Ovis aries: one gene and its partner. Each later gene encodes a partner of the first gene's protein in a complex. Links are inferred from orthologs where the notes say so. Each region holds a gene or a part of one and is shown in the gene's direction. Other genes may lie near its edges.

Region 1 (3,803 bases):
ATTATCTGCAAGAAAGGCCCAAGGGGCACTTGAGCAACAGGAGTAAGTGATGACGTCTGAACTAAAAGTGGGTTTTATTGTTGTTCTTTTTTTAAACTTTGTTCTTAACGCTACTGCGTCCCGTGAGGCTTTCAGATGGTGAGCGCCCCCTGTTTAGGACACCTGCATTTGTAAGATGCTGTTGGAGCTTGAGCAGTGACACTCTTGGGGATGTCACCTGCGTTCCCAAGGGAACCGTGCTATAAACAGTGGTGACAGGCCCACCTCCCCCACTGTGGAGCACAGGGCCGGGCAACTGTCCTCCTGCCTTGCCAGGCATTCTCTGCCTGGGTGGCCCCACCCCTCTCCCTCCCTCAGAGAACCAAGGGGGCGAATTCATCACCCAGGGAAGGAGCATTTGACGTCAGGCTCCTGAGGAAGCAGGGATCCCAGATGATGCTGCAGAAGGAAAGGGCGCCCTTTCTCCCCAGAATGCACACCCTCCTGGCGGGTTGGCCTTGCCATTGGGGCCCAGACTCCAGGGCCAGACAGAGCGTGGGGGGTCTGAAGAGCCAACACGGGGCTGCGGTGGAGCAGGCTGGCTTCCTCGCCCCTCGTCTGGTCCAGGAGCCGGGCTCCCAACCCCCAACTGCCTTCTTGGGCCCTGCGGTCAGGGCCAAGCTGGTTGGAGATGCCAGCTCTCTCCTGGGCTCCAGGCCCCGAAACAAGGATCAGATCTACGAGCCCAAGGCGCCCACACCGCGAGGGCCCAGCGCCCCTGGCCTCTGGGCAGATGTGCCGAGACGGGTGTCCCAGGAGTGACAAGCTGGCCCTGCTCTTGAAGATTATGCCATTCCCGCTCTTCTTTCTTCCTTCCTACCTGGACCCAGGGTTACTGAAGGCACACAGGGAACCTCTGGAAATCAGAAGCCAGGGCCCCACCTCCCCAGCCCCAGCTTGGTGCAGAGTCCCAGCGCCCGCCAGCCCCAGCTTGGTGCAGAGTCCCGGCGCCCCCCAGCCCCAGCTTGGTGCAGAGTCCCAGCGGCCCCCAGCCCCAGCTTGGTGCAGAGTCCCGGCGCCCCCCAGCCCCAGCTTGGTGCAGAGTCCCGGCGCCCCCCAGCCCCAGCTTGGTGCAGAGTCCCGGCGCCCCCCAGCCCCAGCTTGGTGCAGAGTCCCGGCGCCCCCCAGCCCCAGCTTGGTGCAGAGTCCCGGCGCCCCCCAGCCCCAGCTTGGTGCAGAGTCCCGGCGCCCGCCAGCCCTGTTGGCCCAGCAGCTTGTGCAGTGCCCCTGCCGCCCAGCTGTCCCCAGCAGCCCCGCCCAGACCCGGAGCCCAGCACTGCAACTCCCAGTCACAGCGGGAGACGGACTCTTGCAGGAAGAGCACTAGGCAGACAGGCTGGCGGCAGAACCCCCACCCGCGTGGCCGTTCGCGCCAGGCCGGCCCATCTGCCCTGGTATGTGGCACAGCTGGCAGGGGCCAGCCCCACACGCCCGCTGCCAGAGCCCCCAAGTTACCCTCTGTGACATTAGAAGAAAACCTGAGGTTCCTGGGGCCCTCCCACTGCCTGTGCCCCACCCACCAGGCTCAGTGTGACCCCCTGGCCCACAGCACCCCCAGTCCCGGCCAGTGCCCAGGGGAGGAGGGGGGACATGCCCTGTGTCCCCCACACCACAGGTTGAGTCCCTACAGCCTCCTGAGGACGGCCCCTCTCAGCAGGTCTTGTGTCAGAGGAAGACCTGTGTGCCTTCAGCCTTTTGACTCCACAGGCATGGACCCAGGCTCCTTTGGCAGATGAACCAGGAAACATCTCTTCTTAAAAATGATGTCTTAAAAACATCTCTTTTTAAAAGCTTGTAAAGTTGAGATATGAGGTTAGATGAGATCAGTGGTTCTGCCTTTCAGTTCATTTCAGTCCCTCACTCTTGTCCGATTCTTTGTGACTCCATGAACTGCAGCACGCTAGGCCTTCCTGTCCATCACCAATTCCCAGGGTTCACCCAAACCCATGTTCATCAAGTTGGTGATGCCATCCAACCATCTCATCCTCTGTCGTCCCCTTCTCCTCCCACCTTCAATCTTTCCCAGCATCAGGGTCTTTTCAAATGAGTCAGCTTTTCGCATCAGGTGGCCAAAGTATTGGAGTTTCAGCTTCAACATCCATCCTTCCAATGAACACTCAGGACTGATCTCCTTAGGATGGACTGGTTGGATCTCCTTGCAGTCCAAGGGACTCTCAAGAGTCTTCTCCAACACCACAGTTCAAAAGTGTCAATTTTTTGGCACTCAGCTTTCTTTATAGTCCAACTCTCACATCCGTACATGACTACTGGAAAAACCATAGCTTTGACTAGACTGACCTTTGTTGGCCAAGTAATGTCTCTGCTTTTTAATATGCTGTCTAGGTTGGTCATAGCTTTTCTTCCAGGAAGCAAGCATCTTTTAATTTCATGGCTGTAGTCACCATCTGCAGTGATTTTGGAGTCCAAAAAAATAAAGTCTCTCACTGTTTCCATTGTTTCCCCATCTATTTGCCATGAAGTGATGGGACCTTATGCCATGATCTTAGTTTTCTCTTTTTCTTAATTTAATTTAATTTAATTTTTTTACTTTGCAATACTGTATTGGTTTTGCCATACATTGACATGAATCCACCACAGGTGTACATGAGTTCCCAATCCTAAGCCCACTTTTTTACTCTCCTCTTTCACTTTCATCAAGAGGCTCTTTAGTTCTTCTTCACTTTCTGCCATAAGGGTGGTGTCATCTGCGTATCTGAGGTTATTGATAATTCTCCCGGCAGTCTCGATTCCAGCTTCTGCTTCTTCCAGCCCAGCGTTTCTCATGATGTACTCTGCCTATAAGTTAAATAAGCAGGGTGACAATATACAGCCTTGATGTCCTCCTTCCCAGTTTGGAACCAGTCTGTTGTTCATGTCCTGTTCGAACTGTTGCTTCTTCACCTGCATACAGGTTTCTCAGGAGGCAGGTCAGGTGATCTGGTATTCCGAAGTCTTTAAGAATTTTCCAGTTTGTTGTGATTCACACAGTCAAAGTTTTAGTAAAGTCAGTGAAGCGGATGTTTTTCTGGAATTTCCTTGCCTTCTCTATGATCCAGTGAATGTTGGCAATTTGGTTTCTGGTTCCTCTGCCTTTTCTAAACCCAGCTTTTATATTTGGAAATTCTTGGTTCACATACTGCTGAATCCTAGCTTGAAGGATTTTAACTCTCATTGTATCGCTATTATTTTAGCTGCTCCCAGACTAAGAAACACCTCTGGAATAGACTCCTCTTGGAAAAAAAACGGGAAAAACCGAAAGCTGAAGTCCAAGCGTGTCAAGCCTCGCGACTCCTCGGGCAGCACTGGGTCTGGGGGGCTGGCGCCCCAGCGGCCCCCACTGGTCGGCCTGAACACCACGGCCTGGTCCCTGTCGGACACGTCACAGTCCAGCTGCCCAGCGGTGCCCTTCCCTGACCCAGTGCCAGCGTACTCCCTGCCCTTGTTTCCAGCCCCAGGAATAGTGCCCGCACCAGGGACCGTGGCCACAGGGTCCGGGGCTGCCCACACCAACCTGGCGGTGCCCATGGACGCCCACCAGGCGCTCAGGGCCCAGCCCCCGCCGTTCGCCGGCCCCGTGGCCCCCGTCGTGGCATTGGTCTTGCCTGGCTTCTCCTTCTCCCCGGTGACCCCAGCCCTGCCCGCAGCCTTCTTCCCCGACCAGCGGAACTTTGCATCTGAGATGCCTCCTGCCTCACAGCCCGACTTCTTCCCCGATCGGACCTCAGCCCCCAAACAGCCGTGCCCATGTGCCCCGGCAGAGCGAG
Region 2 (3,803 bases), on another chromosome or scaffold:
TCCTAAGCAGCGTCCCAGCCTGTCCTTCCTCCGTCCTCTCTCTCTGCTGCAGGCCTGGGTTGCCAGCTACGAGAGGCCCCGGATGAACGCCAGCTCCCTGCTGGCCAGCCCCACGGGCCTCAGCCCCTACCTGCGCTTTGGGTGCCTCTCCTGCCGTCTCTTCTACTACCGCCTGTGGGACCTGTACAGGAAGGTGAGGGCCGTCAGCCCGCCCGCGCGCAGCCGACGGACCAGGGTCTTCCGGGCCGGCCAGTCAGCATGCAGGGAGGCCTTCCCTCTGGCTAAAGTGTGGGCACTGTCCAGAGACAGTGAGGAGCAGGCCACATCCGAGAGGTGGCGGAGCCAAGCACAGCACCAACCTCCACTCGAAACCACATCCAGCTTCTCAAGTGGAGCTGGACAGGCCGGCCTCAGGGCGAGACGCCCGGGGTGGCAGAGCTGCCAGCAGCAGGGTGGTGAGGGCTGAGCCCTCAGGGCGGGAGGCAGGACGGGTGAGGCTGGAGCCAGTCCTGAGGTGAGGAGCGCAGTGGCCCGCTACGGGGTGGTGTCCAGACTGTCTCATGGCGCTTGCCCATCAGTGATGAGGAAGTAACCAGAGGGCCAAATGCAGGGCCGGATGGGGCAACGGGCAGAGCACCTTGTGGTAATGTACCTGCCCCCACAAAGAGAGAGGGCCACACCTCCAGCTCCTGAGATTCATCAGGTCGTCCTCACATCTGCGTTGTTTCATGTGTCCTTACGTTTACCAGTATCCCGATTTTGTGGCCTGGGGTAGCTCTGCCACTCGGTGGGTAATCTTGTGATTTTAGGAAAAGTATCATTCCCTTGAGGCTTCCCAGGTGGCACAGTGGTAAAGAATCTGCCTGCCAGGGCAGGAGACACAAGTTCGATGCCTGGATTGGGAAGATCCCCTGGAGGAGAGCATGGCCGCCCACTCCAGTGTGCTTGCCTGGAGAGTCCCAGGGACAGAGGAGGCTGGGGCTACGGTCCGTGGGCTGAAAAGAGCTCGGATGTGATGAGCACATGCATCATTCGCTTGGAGGGTCTTAGTTCCCGCATGGCCCCAGATCCAGGCTTCGGGTATCACGTATTTAACCAAAATCTAGACTGAGCGTTTTTGTGTGTGTGCTGTTGAGAAGACCCCCTTTGACATTTTAGAAAGAGTTACACAGGGGCCCCTGAGGACAGGGGTCGTGACCAGCCTGGGGAGCTCAGTTCCCAGCCCCGAGTCCCACAGCACCATCCCTGCCGCCTGCCGTCTTGGTGCTCAGAGCAGCAGTGGGCACAGCCAGGGCGCGGGGTTCTGGGGGCACCTTCTGCCGTTTCTCCTGGGCGTGGCCCCTCCCCGCGTCGAGGGTGGAGGTGGCAGCTCCGGTCCTCTGTGGGGAGGCCGAGGGGCAGGTGCCAGGGGCGAGGCCCGCGTGTATACCCGTGTGCTGTCCCCGCCCCCAGGTGAAGCGGAACAGCACGCCCCCACTCTCCCTGTTTGGGCAACTTCTGTGGCGAGAGTTCTTTTACACGGCGGCCACCAACAACCCCAGGTTCGACCGCATGGAGGGGAACCCCATCTGCATCCAGATCCCCTGGGATCGCAACCCCGAGGCCCTGGCCAAGTGGGCCGAGGGCAAGACAGGCTTCCCCTGGATCGACGCCATCATGGCCCAGCTGAGGCAGGAGGGCTGGATCCACCACCTGGCCCGGCACGCTGTGGCCTGCTTCCTCACGCGCGGGGACCTCTGGGTCAGCTGGGAGAGCGGGGTCCGGGTGAGTGCTCTCAGCGGGCCGCCCCCGTGGGGGCTGGGGGGTGGGCTGGGGCCCCTGGGTCCAGGAAATTCCCTCCAGATCCTTCTTGGCTTGCCCACAGCAGAAGGCTTTGACACCCTTCCCTGGGGGTCATGTGGTGACTGGGGGAGAACCATGGTCGAGGCCCCCCTGGAGGCTCCTGGTTTCTCCTGCCTGCGTCTAGGTGTTCGATGAGCTGCTCCTGGACGCGGACTTCAGCGTGAACGCCGGCAGCTGGATGTGGCTGTCCTGCAGTGCTTTCTTCCAGCAGTTCTTCCACTGCTACTGCCCGGTGGGCTTTGGCCGCCGCACGGACCCCAGTGGGGACTACATCAGGTGAGGATGCAGAGCAGGCACTCTGACCACTGCAGCCTCCTCCTTGGGTGAGAAACAGTTGGCCTTTGGAGGAGGCTCCCGGCGTGCTGACAGGTCGTCCGGTGGGTGCGTTTCAGGCGATACCTGCCCAAACTGAAAGGGTTCCCCTCCCGGTACATCTATGAGCCCTGGAACGCCCCAGAGTCCATTCAGAAGGCAGCCAAGTGCATCATTGGCGTGGACTACCCCAGGCCCATCGTCAACCACGCCGAGGCCAGCCGGCTCAACATCGAGCGGATGAAGCAAGTTTACCAGCAGCTCTCCCGCTACCGGGGACTCTGTAAGGAGCCACCCCCGCCCCCACATCCCCTCATCCCCAGACAGGGGCAGCACCTCCGGGCTCCTGGGGTGGGATTGGGGATTCCCAGATGTTTGCAGAGGAACACCACCGAGCGCTGCCTTCCAGGCTGTTGACTTGACTTCCTGGGCACAGGCCGCTCAGGCTGGGCTGAATTAGTTGCAGCCAGTGGGGAGAGACAGAACCTAGGACCCCCCTGTCTTGTCCTCACCTGCCCCTTCAGTCCTGTGAGTTTGCATTCCGATTACTCCCCTGCCTCATTCCCAGGTCTGCTGGCATCTGTTCCTTCCTGTGTGGAAGACCTCAGCACCCCAGTGGCAGAGCCCAGCTCAAGCCAGGCAGGGAGCTCAAGCAGTGCGGGTGAGTACAGCTGGCCTCCGGGGGCCTGTGCCCATCCCAGGGGCACTGCAGAGCTACCTCTGCTTCAGTCACAGGGGGCTGAGGACGGAGACCAGAACACTTACGCCCCAGTGGAGCTTGAACTCCCCCCGGGGACACAGATGGTAAAGGAACCGTGCAGGATCACGTCAGATACCAAGTGCTTTGCAGGAAAATCAAGCCGAATGACCTGCTAAGAGAGCGCTGGGGAGGGGGGTGACTTCAGGTGGAGCACCAGGGCCCCACGTAGTGAGCAGAGCCAGCCTTCCTAGAAGAGGGGGAAGAGCATCCCAGGCAAAGGGAGCAGCAAGAAAAGACTCAGAGAAGGAAGCGAGCTGCCCATCCCAGGAACGAGAGGAGGGAGGCCAGTGGGGCTGGCGTGTCCTGAGCGACGAGCTGGAGCAAGACAAGGATGGATAGCCAGAGCAGCACCGTGTAGACTCCGCGTCCACAGGAGGGTTAGCGTTCCCTCGTGTGCAGGGAGAAGGCGCTGACGGGGTCAGCAGGGCAGAGGCGTGACCTCTTTATGTTTTAAAGAGCTCACTCTGCCTGCTGTGTGTATGCGGAGAGCACAGCGTGGGCAGGAGCCCCCGAGGATTGCGGGTGCTTAGGGGCGACGAGTCATCCAGGCAGGAGGTGGCAGGAGTGAGGGGTAGGCAGACTTGCCCCCTTCTTAACCTCTGCCCTTCAGCTCTGGGACAAAGACTGGCAAGCTCATACTGTAGAGAACTACAGAGCTTTTTTAGTTTGCCTGGCCAGGTGGGCTCCACAGGGGAGAGTGTGCTCATCCCAGCATCGGGAGGCCAGTTGCCGAGGGAAGGCCTCAGTCCCCAAGCAAGAAGAGCCGCCAGGCCCATCCATCTCTGGCCTGGAACCCTTGGCACTTGGGCCCCCAGAGCTGGCACACGTGCCTGCAGGCCTGGTCACGCTCTCCTCGGATCTTTCCAGGCGGTCACTGCTGAAAGGAGAG

Evidence for each region.
Region 2: the proteins of PER2 (region 1) and CRY2 are in contact, whole or in part, in a crystal structure (PDB 4U8H), measured with the Mus musculus proteins. The link is inferred for Ovis aries from reciprocal best matches to the Homo sapiens genes PER2 and CRY2. Residues at the interface, in NP_035196.2 of Mus musculus: Tyr1132, Leu1134, Gln1135, Asp1136, Pro1137, Trp1139, Leu1140, Met1142, Ala1143, Asn1144, Thr1145, Ile1149, Met1150, Met1151, Thr1152, Tyr1153, Gln1154, Leu1155, Arg1158, Asp1159, Leu1160, Val1163, Leu1164, Asp1167, Gln1168, Lys1170, Leu1171, Leu1174, Gln1175, Ser1177; in NP_034093.1 of Mus musculus: Trp58, Ser63, Ser64, Val65, Lys163, Leu166, Thr167, Lys169, Arg170, Glu215, Leu216, Gly217, Phe218, Asn330, Pro331, Ile332, Cys333, Ile334, Gln335, Ile336, Pro337, Asp339, Asn341, Pro342, Glu343, Leu345, Ala346, Lys347, Ala349, Glu350.

The regions. Positions count from the first base shown.
Region 1 is NC_056054.1:3,068,550-3,072,352, forward strand, and holds part of PER2 (period circadian protein homolog 2), read left to right. Parts: coding exon 1-42; intron 43-3,230; coding exon 3,231-3,803. UniProt on the Homo sapiens protein: Transcriptional repressor which forms a core component of the circadian clock.
Region 2 is NC_056068.1:74,829,958-74,833,760, forward strand, and holds part of CRY2 (cryptochrome-2), read left to right. Parts: intron 1-52; coding exon 53-193; intron 194-1,452; coding exon 1,453-1,764; intron 1,765-1,966; coding exon 1,967-2,118; intron 2,119-2,234; coding exon 2,235-2,437; intron 2,438-2,722; coding exon 2,723-2,815; intron 2,816-3,803. UniProt on the Homo sapiens protein: Transcriptional repressor which forms a core component of the circadian clock.